3 linked regions of the Macaca mulatta genome follow. The protein of the gene in region 1 binds, or shares a complex with, the protein of each later gene. Links are inferred from orthologs where the notes say so. Each region holds a gene or a part of one and is shown on either strand. Other genes may lie near its edges.

Region 1 (7,736 bases):
CATCCTGGCTAACACGGTGAAACCCCGTCTCTACTAAAAATACAAAAAAAAAAAAAAAAAAGAAAATTAGCCGGGCGTGGTGGCGAGTGCCTGTAGTCCCAGCTACACGGGAGGCTGAGGCAGGAGAATGGCGTGAACCCGGGGGGCGGAGCTTGCAGGGAGCCGAGATCGTGCCACTGCACTCCAGCCTGGGCTACAGAGCGAGACTCCGTTAAAAAAAAAAAAAGCAGAAGGAATGAGATAATGACATGTTATATGTTACAACATGGATGGACCTTGAAAACATCGTGCTAGGTAAAAAAAAGCCAGTCAGAAAAGACCACATATTGTATGATTACATTTATATGAAATGGAGGGAAATCATAGATACATAAAGTAGATTAGTGGTTGCCAGGGGCTGGAGGGAGAGAATGGGAGGTAACTACTAATAGATATGGGTTTCTTTTTGGAGGGATGAAAACATTCTGGAATTAGTACTGATGGTTGTACTACTTTGTGAATATACCAGAAACCACTGAATTGTACGCTTTAAGAGGATAAATTTTACTATAGGTGAGTTATATTTCAATACAAAACCCTCAAGTGACTAATGGGAAAAAAATTCACAAGCACCCTGTCACAGAATGTCAAAAACAAGGTATCCTATCCTTAAATCACTGGCATATAGACATAAGAAAAAAAATAAAAATAAATAGAATTGACCAGAAGGCACTGCAAAGCAGTCATAAAGGAAAAATTATGTTGGGAATCCCAGTGAGTACAGAATCAGATTAGCTTCAAAACTGTGATATATTAGGCCAGGCATGGTGGCTCATGCCTGTAATTCCAGCACTTTGGGAGGCTGAGGCGAGTGGATTGCTTGAGGCCAGGAGTTCGAGACCAGCCTGGTCAACATGGTAAAACCCCATCCCTACTAAAATTACAAAAATTAGCTGGGTGTGGTGGCACGTACCTGTAATCCCAGCTAAGTCGACAGGTTGAGGAACGAGAATTGCTTGAACCCAGGAGGTGGAGGTTGTAATGAGCCAAGATTGTGCCACTGTACTCTAGCCTGGGTGACAGAGTAAGGGTCTGTCTCAAAAAAAAAAAAAAAAAAAAAAGAAAAAAAGAAAAGAAAAAAGGAAAGAAAATGAAAAAAACAAAAATACAAACCAAAAACCAAAATATATTTGAGAAGGAATAGATAAACCAGACTGAAACAGAGGGAAATTGTGGAAGACAGGCTGAAGAAACAGAAGTGAGGCCAGAATATGGAGGACCCTGACTACCAGGCTAAGGAGTTTGGACTTTTTTCCCCCAACCGTTAGTTTAAATCATTATTTTCAAAAAGATTAATTTCATGGCAATATAATAGACTGAATTATACAAGAATGGGAAAAATGGAAAATCCTGTAAGTTTAGAGACAGTGGTTGTCTAGACATTAAATGATGAGAACATAAAGTGTGACTGAAAGTCTAGGTGAACAAGATATTAAAAAAAACAATAAAATCCAGCCTGGGCAATATAAGTAGACCTTGTCTTTAAGATTTAAAAACAAAACAAAACAAATGAACAAACAAAAACCACAATGGGGAAAGGATAGTCTCTTTAATAAGTGGTGTTGGGCTCGGTACGGTGGCCTGCACCTGTAATCCCAGCACTTTGGGAGGCTGAGGTGGGGGGATCACTTGAACCCAGGAGTTCAAGACCAGCCTGGGTAACATAGCAAGACCCCAGCTCTATAAAAAAATTTAAAGAAAATTAGCCAGGCATGGTGACACGCGTCTGTAGTCCCAGCTACTCAGGAGGCTGAGGTGGGAGGGTTGCTTGAGTCCAGGAATTCCAGGCTGCAGTGGGCTATGATTGCGGCACAGCACTCCAACCTGGGTGGAGACCCTGTCTCAAAAGATAAACAATAAATTGACAAGATTCATAACTTACATGTAAGAGATTTTAAAAAAGGAAAAAATTAAACACAACTCAGATTTCCAGGCTAAGTAACTAGAATCTAGTTAAATATCTACTGGAATAAAATAGTTGGAGTGGAAAAATAGCTGGCTTGGGGAGATTAATAAAAGTTGGACAAACACTGGCAATCCTTCAATTTTTACTGGCATAGTCCCTGACAAAAATTTAATTTTTACCAACTTTGAAGGAATATTGAAAAAAACAAAACTAAACAAGAAGACACACTATTTACCTATAATTGCAAACCAAAAAGAAAAGTGGCAAATGGCAGCTTAGACATTCTCTGGCTAAATGTTGTAGGTAGCATATAATAGAGTGTTAAAGCAGAAATGTGTCTTGCCTATAGACTGGACCTTTCTAGATATAAAGTAAGAGAAGTATCAAGGTTTTTTTTTTTTTTTTTTTTTTTTTTGAGACAGAGTCTGGCTCTGTCGCCAGGCTGGAGTGCAGTGGCGTGATCTTGGCTCACTGCAATCTCTGCCTCCCGGGTTCAAGCGATTCTTCTGCCTCAGCCTCCTGAGTAGCTGGGATTACAGGCGCCGCGTTCGGCTAATTTTTTTTAGTATTTTTAGTAGAGACGGGGTTTCACCATGTTGGCCAGGCTGGTCTCGATCTCCTGACCTCGTGATCCACTTGCCTCGGCATCCCAAAGTGCTGGGATTACAGGATTACAGGCGAGAGCCACGCACCGGGCCGAGATGTATCAAGTTTTTTTTTTTTTTTTTTTGGAACGGAGTCTTGCTCTGTCGCCCAGGCTGGAGTGCAGTGGCGCGATCTCCGCTCACTGCAAGCTCCGCCTCCTGGGTTCACGCCATTCTCCTGCCTCAGCCTCCCGAGTAGCTGGGACTACAGGCACCCGCCACCATGCCCGGCTAATTTCTTGTATTTTTAGTAGAGACGGGGTTTCACTGTGTTAGCCAGGATGGTCTCGATTTCCTGACCTCGTGATCTGCCCGCCTCGGCCTCCCAAAGTGCTGGGATTACAGGTGTGAGCCACCGTGCTCGGCCAATGTATCAAGTTTCATGTTTTAATTATATACAACTTTGTGAGAATGTTCAACAGTATCCCAACTGGGAACTGTTGGCTTAATGGATTTGAATTAAATAAATGTTTGTCTTTGAAGCAAAATAAGAAGTAAATATTTAAAATTTATCAAACAAGTTTAAGAGTCACTTATCAGTACTGCAGCTGAAACTCTATAGTCAAAACAGCAGGTTTAAGCCAGGGCAAAAAATTTGTCACACGAGGAGAAAACAGTTGCAATTTCACTCAGTTGATCAAATTAAAAAAATAGTAAGTTAATAAAAGTAACCAAGGACTGTGAAAAGTCACATGTCTATTTATAAGACTGCAACAAGCTTATCAAATGTGTAAAACTCTTTACTTAAATGTTGCACATTTTATCACCCAGGAAGCAACGCAATGCACACACTGTCTTAAACATACAAATGACAAAGAATGACAAAGAAATTCCCTTTTTATTTCAGTTACCAGAACTCACCTTTATTGTCAAGGAATACATAACCATCAAAGCGATCCCTGAACAAAATAATGTCCTCTTGGTTTTTAAAGTTGATGTATGCTCTGGCATACATATGAGGATACAAACTGCAGAGAGGAAAGCAATTATGTAAATGTATTTGCAGGTGTCTGGCCCAATTACAAGTATGCATATATTAAAGACAAGCTCAAAAATTAAATGGAAAACAGTAGGATAAAAAGAGTGAAAGAAACCTTTTTCATTTACCCCTTTCCTTTTTTTTTTTTTTTTTTTTTACCTCGTATCATTAGAAAAAAACTCAAAATAATCATGCTCAGGCATAGGTTGAAGATGTTCCTGAAGCTGCTCCTTGGTCAAAGTGGGAGGTAATCTTCGAATTACCACCTTAAGAAATGCATAAGGAAAATAAAATTAGTAAAAATCAATTTTCTCTCATACCTGAAAGAATCACAGTTCCTGAAGAAGACTGGGCTTTTTAAAATATGAGATCACTTGTAAAAACCCAGGAGAAAATATTCTGCAGCCCAATGCTCAGAAGTAGTCAAAGATAATAGTAACGCGGTTAAAAAAAAAAAAAAAACGCTTGGAAATGAGAACCACCTGGAGCAGGGAAAAATCTCAGGTTTTGCTCTTTACAGCAGCCCTGCAGTTTACCAGGTTTGTGCATCATTTTCGATCACCCATTTTTTAACAGATCTAGTGGCAAGAAATTAGTAAGCCAACCCTGGTCTTTGTGGGTGCCACGAAATCTTGATTTAGTAACAAGTTTCTCCCACGTCCAACACATCTTAAAACAAAATCCTTGCCCATTGAACTTAAGAATTCAAAACTCTAACGAATACAAAAAATCCACCCATTGCTCTCAAAATAGTATGCTCTCGATCTACCCTCCCGTACCATTAATCACCCTGAACTCTCCCCCAACTCGCCTCCATGAATAATATTGCCATCCCTCATGTCTCCTTCAGTATTTAATATTTCTCCCCAATTACACCTTTAGTTCCTCATTCTTTATACCGTCGCTCTCTCTTCCCATTATCACCTCACAGCTCTGACCTAAACCCTTCCCGTTTGGGGAGTCCCCCCTTTTCCTCACCCCTACCCAGGATTTGGCCGGGAGGGGCTCTCCCCATTTCGGGAGAAAGGATAAACCAGGATGGTGCGACTTCCATTCAGGCGAAGAGAAGAAGGGGAACCTGAGAGAGAAAGGGGCCGGCCCCATTCCCAGCCATCCTCCCCGCGCTGCGGACCCGTCCCGCCCTCTCCCGGGCCAGCGGCCGACCGGGCACCTTGCTCAGCGCTTCTTTCTTCTCCTTGTTGCGATCCTGCTTATCTTCCCCCTTGGAGCTGTCCCCCGAGGTCCCACCACCGCTGCCTGTGGCCCCGGCGGGGGTTAACAAGGTTACTCGCTTCTCCTTAGGCCTGTGCTCCTTCTCTTCCTTCATGGCTACGTCCCCCGCTGAAGCGGCTCGGCCGGAACGGGGCTACCCCGGGCACCAACGGCTCCAGGGAAGCTCCCGTCAAAGCTCCGCCCCCAACAAATGCCCCTTATGATAAGTCGGGCCCCACGTTCCACTGGGGCCTGCCAAGCTCTCGCGAGACTTGGGCCTTTCCCAGTGCAAAGGTTTTAACACCTGGTTTTTACTTCCCGCCCGCCAAGTTCCTGTGTCACCCAATCCCCTCGCGGCGCAGACTCCCTCTGGGCCCGCCCCTTCGCGCGTCATTAGCAACTCCGCCATCTTGAAGTGACTCTGTCGGGGACTACAAGTCCCGGCATGCAAAGCAGCTGCCCGCTTTTGTTGGGCGTTCAGGAGCCAGAGGTATCTCAGGGTCCCTGTTTGTAAGTAAATCGAATCCTTTCATCTTCAGAGTTTTTCAGGTCGAAAGATACGTTCTGCACGCTTAGTTTCCATCGGATAAACTCAATGCCGTCCAAATTTTGCCTCACTAGGGGAGCGACTTGTATATTTTGTCTTTGAATTCAGAGGCTTTAGAATTTATTTTCCTACAACTCAAAGAAAGAGCCTAACATTTAAAAAAATTTATTTTCCTTATATTGATTAGGATTTACAGATACTTAGTAAACACTACAATATTAGCCGAGTTCAGTGGCGCGCGCCTGTATTCCCAGCTGCTAGGGAAGGCTGAGAAGGGAGGATCTTGAGCCCAGGAATTCGAGGCTGCAGTGAGCCATGATCGCGCCACTGCACTCCAGCTTGGGCGACAGAGCGAGACCCTGTATCTAAAAAAGAAGGATAATAATAAATAAACACAAGATACTGATATTTAAAGGAGTAATATGGGCCGGGCGCGGTGGCTCAAGCCTGTAATCCCAGCACTTTGGGAGGCCGAGACGGGCGGATCACGAGGTCAGGAGATCGAGACCATCCTGGCTAACACGGTGAAACCCCGTCTCTACTAAAAAATACAAAAAACTAGCCGGGCGAGGTGGCGGGCACCTGTAGTCCCAGCTACTTGGGAGGCTGAGGCAGGAGAATGGCGTAAACCCGGGAGGCGGAGCTTGCAGTGAGCTGAGATCCGGCCACTGCACTCCAGCTCGGGTGACAGAGCGAGACTCCGTCTCAAAAAAAAAAAAAAAAAAGGAGTAATATGACCAAAATATACGAGATTTGTTTTCATCACCTTATTTTACAAAAGGATCATTCTCCCCAGGTACTGATGTCCCACAGGGAAGGGAATAAAAATAAAACCCAATTTGATTTAGTTGTGATCACCCTCTTCACTTAAAAAGGGCCAATTTTACATTATTTATAATAACTCCAAACTGGAAACAATCCAAATGTTCTCAACAGGCAAAGGGATAAAACAAAATATGGTACAGCCATAGAATGCAATGCCACTCAGCAATAAAAATTAACTATTGATATACGCATCAACATAAGTGAATCTCACAGTGATTATGTTGAGTGACAGAATCCAGACACCAAGAGAGTACATGTTGTACAATTCCATTTATATGAAATTTTAGAAAAGGTAAAACCACAATGATAGAAAGCACTTCAGTCGGCCGGACGTGGTGGCTCACGCCTATAATCCCAGCAATTTAGGAGGCCAAGGCGGATGGATCACCTGAAGTCAGGAGTTCGAGACCAGCCTGGCTAACTTGGCGAAACCCCGTCTCTACTAAAAACACAAAAAATTAGCTGGGCGTGGTGGCTCATGCCTGTAATCCCAGCACTTTGGGAGGCCGAGGCAGGCAGATCACCTGAGATCAGGAGTTCAAGACCAGCCTGACCAACTTGGTGAAACCCTGTCTCTACTAAAATACAAAAATTAGCTGGGCATGGTGGCGGGCGCCTGTAGTCCCAGCTATTTGGGAGGCTGAAGCAGGAGAGTCACTTGAACCTGGGAGGCGGAGATTGCAGTGAGCCGAGGTAGAACCACTGGACTCCAACCTGGGTGACAGAGTGAGACTCCATCTCAAAAAAAAAAAGAGAGAGAGAGAGAGACAGACAGACACCCATAGAGGACAAAAACCAAAGTAAAGATGCAATAGGAGCCCAAGGCAGAAAGCTGCCTCAGGGCCAACTCCCATTTTTGCTGACCTCTAGAATATATTCCCCTGACTCTGCACTTAAATTTTTTCACTCTAATTGTCCAGCCTATTTTTGGATTCCTATTCCTGTGGCCAAAACTGTTTCCCTGTATTTGGGATCTGTTACTCTTTCTTTCAGTACCTGGCCATTCTTATGAGCCTTGGAAATCATCAGAGTCATGTATCCAACTGCCTATTTAACATCTCCACTTAAGACGTCTAACGTGTTCAGCCACTGAATGCATCCAAAACCGAACACTTGATCTTCCCCCACACCAACTGTATTAGCTTCCTATTCCTGCTGTAACATTACCACAAATTTAGTGGGTTTAAATAACGCAAGTGTATTATCTTACAGTTCTGTAGGTTAAAAGTCCAACAAGGTTTTAAGTTTGTCCTGTGAGGGGGCAAAAAATATAGTAAGGCTGAGCGCGGTGGCTCACACCTGTAATCCCAGCACTTTGGGAGGCCGAGGTGGGGGATCACGAGGTCAGGAGATCAAGACCATCCTGGCTAACACAGTGAAACCCCGTCTCTACGAGAAATACAAAAAATTAGCCAGGCGTGGTGGTGGGCACCTGTAGTCCCAGCTACTCGGGAGGCTGAGGCAGGAGAATGGCGTGAATCCAGGAAGTGGAGCTTGCAGTGAGATTGCACCACTGCACTCCAACCTGGGTGACAGAGCAAAACTCCATCTCAAAAAAAAAAAAAAAGTAAAAATAAATAAATA
Region 2 (7,260 bases), on another chromosome or scaffold:
AGACCCCGTCTCCAACAACAACAAACAAAAACAAAAACTAAAGGATCTAACCTATCTAGGCAACTTCCAGACCTTAGGTTTGATCCCCACTTTGTCACTCCCTACCTGTATGATGGTGGGTCTCAATTTCCAAACAGTGACATGAGTACCACAAACCTTCAAAAAGTATCTATGTGTAGCCTGCTGGGTGCTCGGTATTGTTCTCAGTGCTCAGGACAGATAAGTAAAACCAAGCAAACCAAAGATCTCTGCCCTGTGGAATTTATATTCTTGTGAGCCCTACTTACTTTTTCTTCTTTTTGATTCATTTATACTTTTTGTTATAATTCAATCAGAAAATAGAAAAAACTGACATGTTTCCAATACTCAGATTTATAAATTATTGCCATACTTGTGTCAGATTTTTTTTTAAAAGAAATAAAATACTACAAAATTTATGTCTATCTCCCATTCTGTTCTCCCTCCTGTATCCCCTGATTTGTTCCATTCTTGTTTCAGGTTTGGTAGTATGTTTTCACTTACTTCTTTTTAGATACAGGGTCTCACTCTGTCACTGAAGCTGAAGTGCAGTGGTAGGATCATAGCTCACTGTAACCCTGAGCTCCTGGGCTCATGCCATCCTGCACCTTTAGCCTCCCGAATAGCTAAGACTACAGGTATGCGCCACCATGCCCAGTTAATTTTTAGGGTTTTTTTTTTTTTTTTTTTTTTTTTTTGTAGAAAAAAGGTCTCACTGTGCTGCTCAGGCTGGTCTTGAGCTCCTGGCCTCAAGCCATCCTCCCACCTTGGCCTCCCAATTTAGAAAAAAAGTGCTGGGAATGTAGGCATGCGTCACTATGCCTGGCCTAGACGTAGTAGTGTGTTGTAAAATTTTTACAAAAATGGTCATATTATACATACTTTTTGCATTTTTCATTCCACATTGTTTTTGAGATTTATCAATGTTGAGTTACACAGATCTAGCTCATTAGTTTTAAATGCTATAGTATTCCATTTCCCTACTGAAATAAACTTAAGTTCTGAATTTTTGTTCCTATAAACAATGTAGCAAGAATATTCTTCTATACATCTCCTTATACATATGTGAAAATGTCTCCATATAATTCCTAGTATTTTAAATGTTCCCAGATACCACAAAATTACTCCCTAACGCAGTTATACTAATTTTACTCTCACTCTTTTCTCGTATCATTTTTTAAACTCGGCAGATTTTTTCTGTTGTTATTCTAATGGGTCTGAAATGGTATCTCACTGTTGTTCTTTCATTTTACAAATGAAGCTGTAAATCTTTTCACATTTATTAGCCACTTGTTTGATCTTGTAAGTTATTCATAACCTTTCCACATTCTGCCACGGGACTGTCTTTTTATTACTTTCTAATTCTTTATATATTCTGGATAGAAAACTCTTGCCAGTTTTATGTTTTGCAGATACCTTCTTCCAGTCTATGGCTTATCTTTCAACTTTATCTTGCCATCTTTTGTCAAACCTAAGTTGTAAAGAAGTCAAATTTACCAATCTTACCCCTTAAGGAGTTTTAAAAACTCCTTCTCTATCCATAAATAATAAAAGATAGTCTATATTCTGTTTAAAATTTTTGATTTCTATAGCCTAATTTAAAAACATTCCATAAATATATTGTCAGCTGTCCTGGTACAATTTGTTAAATAACTCATTCTTTTCCCATTAATGTGAAAGTCCACCTCTGTAGTACGCTGTTCCAAGTTTCCATATATTCATAAGTTGGTTTCTGGGCTGTCTATGCTGTTCCATTGGTTTAGCTGTCAATTCCCGAGGCAATATCATACTATAAATGGCCACAGTTTTATAAGCAATCTCCAGTATTATTTTGGCTACTCTTGCCTCTGATTTTCCATGAATTTAATGCTTATTCTATTTGATTTTAAGGGGAAAAAACCCTACTGCGATTTTCATTTGAATTAAGAGTGAATTTATAAATTACTTTGTTGAAAACTGACATCTATATGATACTGAATCTTCCCATCCACAAAAACGATACATATTTTTGTCCTTCTATAAAGCCCTTTCAAGTTTTGTACATCTTGTTAATTGCATACCCAAGTTCTTTATTAACTTTTCTTGTAATTATTAATGGGATTGATTTTAATTACAGTACCAATGGCTTATTGCTGGTATAAAGGAATATGCCCTTCCCTCTTCACACAATTGTTGTGATGGTTGAACGAGCTAACAGAAATAAAAATTTTATAAATGGTAAAGCAAAATACATATATATGATATTACTGAGATTCCTTGAACATAAAGTTAACTTTAGTAAGTACTGAAGGTAGGATTTTTTAAAAAAACTCTTCTTGAAGGGTTGGTCCATCATTTTGAGGTTATTAGGCATGAGTTTATATGGGTTTTCATGTTAATTTAACAAATTATTATTGGGCTTTTACTATACATGGGCACTATTTTAGTCACTGGAGATATAGCAGTGAAAAAATTGAAAAGCAAGTAAGACAATTTTAGACAATAAGTGCTACAAAGACAACACATATTGTGATGAAACTGAAAGCAAAAAGAAAACACACACACACACACAAAGACAGCACAACAGATCTTTTTCTTAATGATGGGAAGAGACTTCTTAGATTGAATGGACAGGCAAGATATCACCGAGGAACCGACTTTTGAAGACCTCAATAATAGAGAGAGTCTTGTACAGAGTTAAAGGAAGAATATTTTAGGCAGAATGTGGCAAGTGCCAAGGCCCTGAAGTAAGAACCACCTAGGTATTTCTGAGGAACAGAAATGAAGCTAGTAAGGTTTGAACACCATGACAGACTGGAAGCATGGTAAAAGATAAGGTGGGAGTTTAAATTTTAAGTACAGTGGGAAGCCATTGGAGTTTAAATCAGTGGAATACATAAGCAAATTTACATTTTTAAAGATCACACTGGTCAGGCGCGGCAGCTCACGCCTGTAATCACAGCACTTTGGGAGGGCAAGGTGGGCGGATCACCTGAGGTCAGGAGTTCAAGACCAGCCTGGCCAACATGGTGAAACCCTATCTCTACTAAAAATACAAAAATTAGCTGGGCATGGTGGTGTGTGCCTGTAATCCCAGCTACTCGGGAGGCTGAGGCAGGAGAATCACTTGAACCCAGGAGGTGGAGGTTGCAGTGAGCTGAGATCATGCCACTGCACTCCAGTCTGGGCGACAGAGCGAGACTCCGTCTCGAAAAAAAAAAAAAAATTACATTGGCTTTCAGGATGGAAAAATGGATGGTATGGAACAAGAGGAAAAACAAGGGAACCTATTAGAAGTCCAGAAGTCTGGATTAGGATGGTAGCAGTCAGAGTGAAAATACCTTTTCTGTTAATTCAGTTCAATATGATAGTGGCTTTTATTTTTTAGTTAACAAAACGGTGCTCGGAATGAATATATAATGTATATAAATACACATGAATTTAAATACATATACTGAATTATTTGTATGATTTTCCTTTCATTAGATTGGTGAAATAATCATGTTCTATTTTTCTTTGTATCTCCACAATGCTTTGTCCATAGTAGTTAGTAAATGAGATAGGCAGCAAAAGCTTTAAGTGGAGGAGGGAGTGTGGGGGGTCCTAAGAAGAAATTCAAGGCTGGGTTCTTGGTGGCCAGCAGCACTTGTTCTCTCTGTTCCTTCCTGTGGGATTAATGCTTCCTTAGACCAAGGTGCTGGCAATCTGCTTTCTGCAGGGCTGACCACCACCACCACCACCACCATCACACACACATGCACACAGTTTCACTATCATATGCAGAGCACTAAACCTCATCTTATTTGTAAGATTTCTGCACTACAGGATAATCAATAAAACATACCTGCCGGCCCACTCGGTCAGGAGGAGGCCACAATGCATCATCCTCTTTGGTAATTTCACTGTCATCGATTATTCTCTTCAGTTCCTCCATCACGCTTTTATGTACATAAGCCTGAAAGCAAGTTAAAAGACAAAATGTATGTTGTATCCTTAAGCAGTGCTTTGACTCAGATAGTGATGGAAGATAAAAATAACTGTTCCTGCAGACTTATTTCTGGCATCTTCTTAAGTGGGAAGACATTCATGCTCAACCTCGGCATGATGCAGGTGAGGGACAGGGTCAGAAGTATCTAATAAACTGCACCTCAGTCCCCCATCTAGCTGTTACTACCTCCTGGTACATCCTGTTTACATGGCCCTTCTGCCTGTCCACACAGCCAACTCACAAAGAAACCCAAAATAGATCTGTGAATGCCCCCTGCTATGGTTTGAATTTTTGTGTCTCCTCCAAAATTCATGTTGAAATTAATCCCCAATGCAACGGTGTTAATCGATAGGGCCTTTAAGAGTTGATTGGGCCTTGAGGGCAGAGCCCCCATGGATAGGATTAGTGCCTTAGGAGACAGCTTAAGAGAACTAGCTGGCCCCTTGCTTGTTCTTTCACCATATGAGAACACTGCATTCATCCCTTCTGGAGGATGCAAAAACAAGGCACAGTTGTGGAAGCAGAGACTGGGCCCTCACTAAACACTGAACCTGCCAGTGCCTTGATCTTGGACTTCCCAGCCTCCAAAACTGTGAGAAATATATTTTTATGGCTTAAAAATTACCCAGTCTCAGGTATTCTGTTATAGCAAAACAAAAGAGACAGCAACACCTACATGCCCTGGTTTATTTTTTTTTGAGACGGAGTCTCACTCTGTGGCCCAGGCTGGGGTGCAGTGGTGCAATCTCGACTCACTGCACGCTCTGCCTCCTGAATAGCTGGGACTACAGGCACCCACCACCACGGCTATATTTTTTTGTATTTTCAGTACAGACGGGGTTTCACCGTGTTAGCCAGGATGGTCTCCATCTCCTGACCTCGTGATCCGCCCACCTTGGCCTCCCAAAGTGCTGGGATTACAGGCGTGAGCCACCGCGCCCGGCCAGTTATTCTTAACTAGGTAATACGCTCCTGAGGAGCAAAATGTATTTGAAAAGATATGCCTGTGTAAAAAAATAGTGAGAATGTTGACATGTGTGAATAAGCATGAAACTGATAGCTAAAACAACAGTATGAAAAATATATGCTAAGACATTTTCAAAGGTGGCAGAGTGGTTAAAAGAGTAGCTTTGATGAAGCCTTAATGATGTAGTAGAAATCACAGAGAGGAGAATACAAACTTTACTGGGGAATTCCTTTAATTGGGAATTCCTGCTGTATCTCTTACTAGCAGGGGTAACTCTGAACAAGTCTCATAATTAATATCTGGGCCTTTATTTTCTTATTTGTAAGGGGGCTATAATACCCTCCCCCATCATATGGGCTTATAATCAGGGTTAAATAAGATGCCATGCCTGACATCTAACATGCATTCAATGATATCAACTGCTTTCCCATGCTCCCTTTCCCACTCAGATGCAAATTAAATAGCTCTCCATTGTGTACTATGTGCCAGGGAATATATAGAGCACTTTAAGTATAACACATTTAATTTTATGACAGCACTTGGGAGTGGGAGGTAGCTTTTATTTTCCCTGTTTTTGCAGGTGAAGAAACAGAGATTTAATCAAGTTCAGCCAGGAACTTGCCCACTGTCACATGAGGTAGTAAGCAGCAGACTCAGGGTTCAAACCAAGGTATGTCAATGGTTACCAGTAATTGATTCCACATTGTAAAATAAAAAAATCCCAACTAAAAGATGATTTGGGAAATAATCCAGAAGCTGTCTACAGACATGTGTCTCTCTCCCTGTTCTTTACCTTTCAATACTAGATACAACAAAAACAATGCAAGACAAAAAGCTGAAATGTAGAAAATGAAGGCCTCTCAGAAGGCATACCTCTTTTCTGATCATGACATCATTCTTGTAATTGCTGTTGTTGGCATATCTTAACTTCCCTGTGGGGACAAAAGCCAAATTCAACATATAATAAAAACATGAATAAAGCATCAATACCATACCAAGACTATCGGCAGTTGCCTAAAATGTATCCAACTTGCTCAAAGTGTCTAAGACATTTATTATTTACTCTTAAGGTAGTTCAACAATACTAGTCTTTCAGTTCTTCACTTCAGGCTTAAACAGCCAAATATACAGCTGACACTCAACTACTGCAAAAAGCAGCTCAGGTGAGGTAAAAACACAGGCAGGCTCTTTTCTGACTTTGTCGAATCACATTTTTGCAGGTGAATGTCCTGAAAACAGGCAGAGTAAATGATAACTTACCAGCACATAGGACCTCCTGAGGCTCAAATGAGTTGTGAAAACATTTTGAAAACTGTAGGATGCTGTTTACATATATTATCATGTGACTGTGCCACACTCTATTTCTGTGATGGAAAAGTTGTTGCTTTTATCACTGAGCACATTTGGTACACAAGACCCTTTGTCCATGTGTGCGTCTAACAGGTTAATGTGAATACATGGTGGGGATGAGGAGAAGATAGAAGGAAACAGAAGACATGTAGACTAGAAGACATACATGTGAGATGAGCCCAGTGAATTTATTCCAACGGTCTCTGTGCTGTCTCTCTGCCTCAAGTTTCTTCACATTCAGTTCACTGTCCATATAGTGGACAAGGTGATGTGGTAACAGATCTATCAGATTAGGTTACTCTAATACTTTGATAAAGTCAATGGCTTTCCGCTGCCTTCCTGGTTAAAATCCGGCCGGGCGCGGTGGCTCACGCCTGTAATCCCAGCACTTTGGGAGGCCGAGGCGGGCAGATCACGAGGTCAGGAGATCGAGACCATCCTGGCTAACACGGTGAAACCCCGTCTCTACTAAAAATGTAAAAAATTAGCCAGGCGTGGTGGCGGGCGCCTGTAGTCCCAGCTACCTAGGAGGCTGAGGCAGGAGAATAGCGTGAACCCGGGAGGCGGAGCTTGTAGTGAACCCAGATCGTGCCACTGCACTCCAGCCTGGGCAACTGAGCAAGACTCCATCTCAAAAAAAAAAAAAAAAAAAAAATCCAAACTCCTCAACATGGCATACGGCTAAGCAAAGCCCCTGCCTGCTTTTCCAGCCTCACTCCTGCAATATTCTTCTCTCACACAGCTGGAGTCGAACAACTTGGTTTCTGCCTGAAACATCCCAAGCACTTTTTGGTTTTCAGCCTCTTTGCATGCTGTCTAAAATGCCTTCTTGACTCTTCTTGGTCTCCTAACCAATACCTCACATCCCCTCCTCCCATCATTTTATGTAGGAAGCCTCCTCTGACCCTCAGGCTTGGCTAGGTGCCCCTTCTCTGCTGCAAGTCTCCTCTGTTTCTTT
Region 3 (7,260 bases), on another chromosome or scaffold:
TGGGATTATAGGCATGAGCCACCATGTCTGGCCTAAAATAATCATTTTTTGGAAATGATGTCTTGCTATTTTGTCTAAGTCTGTAATTGCTGAGCTCAAGCGATCCTCCCACTACAGCCTCCCTAGTAGCCGGAACTACAGATGTACACCACTGTGTGTGGCCAGATATATAATTTAAAAAGCTTTTTGCAAGCACGATTTTGTATAGATCTCTAGAACAGCCACCTTTCTTCTCAGAGTTGTTCTTTAGAACTTCTGCTTTCTTCCCTTTTTTGTGGGGGTGATGGGGGCATTGCTGTGTTGTTACCCAGGCTGGAGTGCAGTGGCTGTTCTCAGGTTCCATCATAACGTACTGCAGCCTCCAACTCCTGGGCTCAAGTGATTCCTCCTGCCTCAGCCTCCTGAGTATCTGTCATTACAGGCTTGTGCCACCAGTCCTGGCCAGGACCTCTACTTTTAATAAGGAACAGAAGCCTTAGGTCTGCAAGACTATAGTAGTGCCTAGTTTTGGAATATTCAGAACCATGATTCTTGAGAGATTTTTTTTTTTTTTGAGACAGGGTTTGCTCTATCGCCCAGGCTGGAGTACAGTGGCCCGGTCTCAGCTCACTGCAGTCTGTGCCTCCTGGGCTCAAGCGATCCTCCCACCTCAGCCTCCTGAGTAGCTGGGACTACAGATGCATACCACTACGCTTGGTTAATTTTTGTATTTTTTGTAGAGACGGGGTTTTGCTGTGTTGCCCAGGCTGGTCTTGAACTCCTGAGCTCCTGGGGAAATTTCAGATATATGCAAAAATAGAGGAGTATAGTGAACTAGTCCCTCATCTACCTAGCATCAATAATTACACACTTTCTCCCCCTGGAGTATTTTAAAGCATCATAGCATTTACCCATAAAAACTTCATTATACATCTTAAAGTGTTTTCAGTGCAGCTGAAAATTGAGTTATTTAATGTATGTACGTACTTTCTTTTCTTTCTTTCTTTTTTGAGAGAGTTTTGCTCTTGTTGCCCAGGCTGAATACAATGGCACGATCTCGGCTCACCCCAACCTCCGCCTCCCGGTTGAAGCCATTCTCCTGCCTCAGCTTCCTGAGTAGCTGTGACTACAGGCATGTGCCACCACACCCAGCTAATTTTTGTATTTTTAGTAGAGATGGGGTTTCTCCATGTTGGTCATGCTGATCTCGAACTCCTGACCTCAGGTGATCCACCCATCTTGGCTTCCCAAAGTGCTGGGATTACAGGCGTGAGCCACCACACCCGGCCTTGTACATACTTTCTTAAAATGTACTTTCACTGCTCATTTTGTATTTGTGTGTTGCTGGGAGACTTCAAAGAGATACTCAACTGTCCATGTTATCAGTGATAGAGGCCACCTTTCTGTTAATATATTGTAGTTTTTAGTGGAAAAATCAAGTAATTATCTTGTAACTCAGGGGTGATTATCTCAGAAAGATGAAAATCTACTTTTTTAGAGATTTATAGATATGTGTATAATTTTTTGAGACAGGGCCTCACTCTGTCACCTAGGGTGGAGAGCTATGGTGTGATCATGACTCACTGCAGCTTCAACCTCCCTGGCTCAAGCGATCCTCCCGTCTCAGCCTCCCAAGTAACTGGGACTACAAGCCTGTGCCACCACGTCCAGCTAATTTTTTAAATTTTTTGTAGAGATTGGGTCTCACTCTGTTGCCCAGTCTGATCTTAACTCCTGGGCTCCTCCCACCTCAGCTTCCCAAAGGGGAGATTTAAGTTATATATTTTGTTATCTCAAAAACTTCAATAAACTTCAAAATCATATTGTTTGTCACCCCTCACTCCTGCCTATTTTATTACTTCTGCAATTTAAATTGTTCTGTCTTTTTAGAGGAAAAATAGGTATATTTGTTTTTAGTTATTTTTTTCAGTATAAACTGAGTCTACTAGCTTTTTATTAAAAGTTTCTTATTTGATAGTTGTCTTCTGGTTCCTTTCCAAATTTTCTAAATCACTTGAATTTTTAAGAGTCCAAACCTGGCAAGGTAGTTTGTTAAAGGTTTGGCTAATGTGCTGAGTATGGAAAAACAATATCTAACATTTCAAAACTTTTTTTTTTTTTGAGATAGAGTCTCACTCTGTTGCACAGGCTGGAGTGCAGTGGCATGATCTTGGCTCATAGCAACCTCTGCCTCCTGAGTTCAAGTGATTCTCCTGCCTCAGCCTCCCGAGTAGCTGGGACTACAGGCGCGTGCCACCATGCCTTGCTAATTTTTTGTTGTTTTTAGTAGAGATGAGGTTTCACCATGTTAGCCAGGATGTGTCGATCTCCTGACCTTGTGATCTGCCTGACTCGGCCTCCCAGAGTGCTAGGATTACAAGTGTGAAGCCACCGCCCAGCCTCAAAAACATTTTTAATGCGTTCTTTTATAGTACTAATTCTTTTTTTTTTTTTTGAGACAGAGTCTCACTCTGTTGCCCAGGTTGGAGTGCAGTTGCGTGATCTTGGCTTACTGCAGCATCAGCTTCCGACTCCCAGGTTTAAACAATTCTCCTGCCTCAGCCTCCCAAGTAGCTGGGATTACAGGCGCCCACCACCATGCCCAGCTGATTTTTGTGTTTTTAGTAGAGACGGGGTTTCACCATGTTGGCCAAGCTGTTCTCAAACTCCTGACCTCAGGTGATCCACCTGCCTCCCAAAGTGCTGCCTCCCAAAGTCACCATACCTGGCCTTGTAGTGCTAATTCTTTAAAGAATTCTTTGTGGATTTTTTTTTTCTCTTTGCCCATTGCTTTTATTTGTTTCACATTTTATATCCTTCCCAAACATACTATATTTTTCATAGTAGCATTATATGTCTTACCTAGTTAACTTGCCAGTTGGCAGAATGATTTTTAATTTAATCTAGTCAGTATCCTCCGCTCTATGACATTTGTTATCAACCTACAGTACTGGGCTTCTCATTAAGATAATACTTGTTAGCGTAAGTCATTAGTAAAATGTGTTTATTTATTTATTTATTTTGAGACGGAGTCTTGCTCTGTCGCCCAGGCTAGAGTGCAATGGCACCTTCTTGGCTTACTGCAACCTCTGTCCCCTGGGTTTAAGTGTTGTGCCTCAGCCTCCTGAGTAGCTGGGACTACAGGTGAGCGCCATCACACCCAGCTAATTTTTGTATTTTTAGTAGAGATGGGATTTCACCATATTGGCCAGGCTGGCCTTGAACTCCTGACCTCAGGTGATCTGTTTGCTTTGGTCTCCCAAAGTGCTGGGATTACAGGCATGAGCCACCACGCCCGGCCAGTAAAATGTCTTTAAAAGTAGTGAAAGGCCTTTTGAATCTTGTAGATTATTATACTTAGATAATTTTTTTCACTGGTTTTTTACTCGTAGGGGATTTGTGTATAATGCTTCAAAATATAGAGAGTATTTTATGTATTTGTTTGTTTTTATATAGAGAAAAAGAAGAATCCGTTCAGCTTCATCAGGAAGCTTGGGAACGACATCATTTAAGAAAAGAACTTCGTAGCAAAAACCAAAATGCTCCGGACAACCGACCAGAGGAGAACTTCTTTAGCCGCCTTGACTCAAGTTTGAAGAAAAATACTGCTTTTGTCAAGAAACTAAAAACTATTACGGAACAACAGAGAGACTCCTTGTCCCATGATTTTAATGGCCTAAATTTAAGCAAATACATTGCAGAAGCTGTAGCTTCTATTGTGGAAGCAAAACTGAAAATCTCTGATGTGAACTGTGCTGTGCACCTCTGCTCTCTCTTTCACCAGCGTTATGCTGACTTTGCCCCATCACTTCTTCAGGTCTGGAAAAAACATTTTGAAGCAAGGAAAGAGGAGAAAACACCTAACATTACCAAGTTAAGAACCGATTTGCGTTTCATTGCAGAATTGACAATAGTTGGGATTTTCACTGACAAGGAAGGTCTTTCCTTAATCTATGAACAGCTAAAAAATATTATTAATGCTGATCGGGAGTCCCACACTCATGTCTCTGTAGTGATTAGTTTCTGTCGACATTGTGGAGATGATATTGCTGGACTTGTACCAAGGAAAGTAAAGAGTGCTGCAGAGAAGTTTAATTTGAGTTTTCCTCCTAGTGAGATAATTAGTCCAGAGAAACAACAGCCCTTCCAGAATCTTTTAAAAGAGTACTTTACGTCTTTGACCAAACACCTGAAAAGGGACCACAGGGAGCTCCAGAATACTGAGAGACAAAACAGGTGATTTTCAAATGTTTCTCAGAGTTGAGAATTTATTTTTGGAGCTCATACTTAAAAATGTTTAAAGTCTTCATGCCACTGAAAGAACTTATGGAAAAGGGCTCCTTACAGGTGATTTCTTAACATTCCAGGAAAATTTCAAAGTAGAACAGTCTGAGTACTCATGTTTTAATGTGAGTCTACAATAGATTTTGTTTCTGATTTAAAAAAAAAATCTGCCAAGTAGATGGTGATTTTCACCTTGTGAATGTGTATTCTTCCTGTGATTTTAAACACTACTTAATAATTGAGGGATAAATTTTCCTTTTCTGTCACTTAAACTTACCTGCTAATATTTTTCTGTGTGCTTTAATGTTCTCTTTATAACAGGTTTGCTTTCATTGTTTTGTATTTTAAGTTCTTTATGTCACTGTTGCTCTTCTTAAGAAAATGAGTCATTAATTACCAGTGGTATTTCAGATTAGAGTTTTGGAAAATAATGCACAAAATAAGCTATGAAAAATTTCTTAAATGCAACTTCAAAACTCATTCGTAGGAGTCTTCTTCCTTGGGGCATTCATTTAAAATTCTAAATGAGGAACGTACTGTGCCTGTGGTAATTGGTGAAAAGACCTGACTTTGGGGCCAATTTTGATTGTTAAAAGGTATTGTAGGCTAGTGTGTAGTATTTGTACCTGAGAAGCAACAGGAAGCTAGAAGTTGATGGAGTTGCTGGGCATTAGGTCAATTTCTGTGGAGGATGGATTTGGAGGGGGGCTGAGGGGGTGTAGAAATAAGGTAATAGCCATAGCACGTGGCTGAGTATTAAACTATTTTAATATTTCTACAACTATATTGCATGGTTGAGAATCTGAAATTACTGTTGATCAGAAATTTGTATAGGAGAATATCCTTTTCTAGTTTCATAAGTCTGTGGTAGGGGAGGAGTGGTTTAAGTAGTTAGCGCTAGAAGATGATTGACTTAACCAGAAGACTGAACAGGAATAGTGTATGCCAGTAGTACAGTTAGGGCAGGGTCAAGGTAGAGACTTGTGGCTGAAGGTAGAGACTTGTGGTTAAATCTTTGTGGCTGAAGGTCACTCAGAGGTGAGAATTTTAGATGGCAATGGTGTTATCAATAGTTCTTTTAGGAAAAAGAAAAAGGCTTATCCTTATTTTGTGTTTTGATTTGCGAGGACTGGTTTAAACTTTGAAGAGGCAACCTGAGAATGTACTTGTACCATCAGTAATGGACTAAAAAGGATTATGGTGGTGCTTTATTCATACTTCTCACTTACTGAGGGCTTCCTAATTATGATTTCCATATGCTTTGTCAGTTTCATAGTCCTTTCCTCATACATTCTACTTAATATATCATAACTGATGATTTGTAAGTATGCTAATAGTATGCTAATGATTGATTAGTTATTGGCTACTTTGAGGGTGTATGTGTGTGTATTTGCTTTTGATTGGACTCAGAATCTTGGAGAGTGAAGAGATTCTATGATGTTTTAATCCAATCCATTAACCTTTCCGAAGTAGGAAAACATTTTATAGATTATCTAACAGATAAGATTATTTTTCCTCTGAATACTTCCCAAAGGAGCTCAGTTCTGTCTGTGCCATTGCACTGTTGGTAACACTTATGGGCTAGGAATTCTTTTGTTACATCAAGTGGAAATTTAACTTACCACAAAATGGTTCACTTTGATTTGGTTCTTTTTTCTAGTATGGATGGAATACAGGTACTTGAAGTAGGAGATCTATGAACTTTTTACCTGTTCATAATGAATGAAATACAGAAAGTGAGAGTGAGCACTTAGAAATTATTATAGGAATTTTCAGGCTGGGCATGGTGGCTCACACCTGTAATCCCAGCACTTTGGGAGGTCAAGGCGGGTGTGTCGCCTGAGGTCAGGAGTTCTAGACCTGCCTGGCCAACGTGGTGAAACCCCATCTCTACTAAAAACGCAAAAATTAGCTGGGCATGGTGGCAGGCCCCTGTAATCCCAGCTACTTGTAGGGGCCTGAGGCAGGAGAATCGCTTGAACCCGGGAGGCAGAGGTTGCAGTGAGCTGATATTGCGCCATTGCCCTCCTGCCTGGGGGATAAGAGTGAGACTTCGTCCCCGCCCCGCCCCCAAAAACAAGGTTTATAGGAGTTTTCAATGGTCATAGTATTCCTACTATATTTTTACGGAAGTGTCCAATGGTTGGGGATGGAAAGGTGGCCCTTTACCACAGATGGTTTGGGGAACACTGGTAGAGGACATACTTGTCCACTTTTATTCCCATGACAGTATCTCAGATATTCACAGACTGCTGTGATGTTTCCCTTTTCTCTTCTCTATGTTAAATACCTCCAGTTCTTTCAGTTTGCGCCATGATTTCCAGACACTTCACTATGCTTAGGATACTTGTTTTGGATGCATTCTTTTCTATCTGTGACCTAAAATTGCCTTCGTTTTTATAGCTACCTTGTCGTTCTTTTGGTTTTTGTTAAACTTATTTGCACTAAAGCTTTATTTCTCATATGAACTGCTGACAAGCCACTTCTTCACCTTAAACTAGTGAAATACAGTTTTTAAAGCCTAAATGTGTACTTGCTTATCTCTATTAAACTTTATTTAGATGCTTTTGGTATATTATTTTAGCTTTATGAATGCTTTGGATATTGATTACATGTATACACAGTACTGGCTGGGCGCAGTGGCTCACGCCTCTAATGTCAGCACTTTGGGAGGCTGAGGCAGAAGGATCGCTTGAGCCAGGAGTTTGAGACTAGCCTGGGCAACATGGTGAAACCCCATTGCTACAAAAAATATAAAAATTAGCTGGGTGTGATGGCACGGGCCTGTAGTCTCAGCTACTTGGGGGCTGAGGTGGGAGGATCACTTGAGCCTGAAATGTCAAGACTGCAGTAAGCCGTGATCGTACCACTGCACTCTAGCCTGAGCGACAGAGAGAGACCCTGGCTCAAAATAAAAACTGATTAGTACTTATCTTCTGGTCATATTCAGCTTTGATAAGCAGCTCTTCTATTTTATTATTCAAGTCATTGATAAAA

Evidence for each region. Proteins that work in one complex are often made in the same cells at the same time.
Region 2: UPF3B (region 1) and MAGOH share a complex: the UniProt entries of both Homo sapiens proteins name them as parts of the mRNA splicing-dependent exon junction complex. The link is inferred for Macaca mulatta from reciprocal best matches to the Homo sapiens genes UPF3B and MAGOH.
Region 3: the proteins of UPF3B (region 1) and UPF2 are in contact, whole or in part, in a crystal structure (PDB 7NWU), measured with the Homo sapiens proteins. The link is inferred for Macaca mulatta from reciprocal best matches to the Homo sapiens genes UPF3B and UPF2. Residues at the interface, in NP_542199.1 of Homo sapiens: Lys52, Arg56, Arg57, Tyr79, Glu81, Phe83, Asn85, Asp86, Thr87, Ser88, Leu89, Tyr90, His92, Tyr94, Arg96, Tyr98, Ile130, Glu132, Pro135, Phe136, Lys138, Ala139, Ala140, Arg147, Asp148, Lys150, Val151, Gly152, Thr153, Ile154; in NP_056357.1 of Homo sapiens: Lys767, Arg768, Pro769, Pro770, Leu771, Glu773, Tyr774, Lys777, Lys790, Arg793, Gln794, Arg796, Lys797, Leu798, Pro799, Trp800, Gln801, Cys811, Ile814, Asn815, Trp817, Tyr837, Gln838, Glu839, Asp840, Ile843, His844, Val846, Asp847, Gly848.

The regions. Positions count from the first base shown.
Region 1 is NC_133426.1:126,334,424-126,342,159, forward strand, and holds the start of UPF3B (regulator of nonsense transcripts 3B), read right to left. Parts: upstream 4,976-7,736; 5' UTR 4,896-4,975; coding exon 4,740-4,895; intron 3,835-4,739; coding exon 3,728-3,834; intron 3,558-3,727; coding exon 3,451-3,557; intron 1-3,450. UniProt on the Homo sapiens protein: Involved in nonsense-mediated decay (NMD) of mRNAs containing premature stop codons by associating with the nuclear exon junction complex (EJC) and serving as link between the EJC core and NMD machinery.
Region 2 is NC_133406.1:187,372,149-187,379,408, reverse strand, and holds part of MAGOH (protein mago nashi homolog), read right to left. Parts: intron 5,885-7,260; coding exon 5,826-5,884; intron 3,953-5,825; coding exon 3,842-3,952; intron 1-3,841. UniProt on the Homo sapiens protein: Required for pre-mRNA splicing as component of the spliceosome. Plays a redundant role with MAGOHB as core component of the exon junction complex (EJC) and in the nonsense-mediated decay (NMD) pathway.
Region 3 is NC_133414.1:13,574,415-13,581,674, reverse strand, and holds part of UPF2 (regulator of nonsense transcripts 2), read left to right. Parts: intron 1-3,435; coding exon 3,436-4,215; intron 4,216-7,260. UniProt on the Homo sapiens protein: Involved in nonsense-mediated decay (NMD) of mRNAs containing premature stop codons by associating with the nuclear exon junction complex (EJC).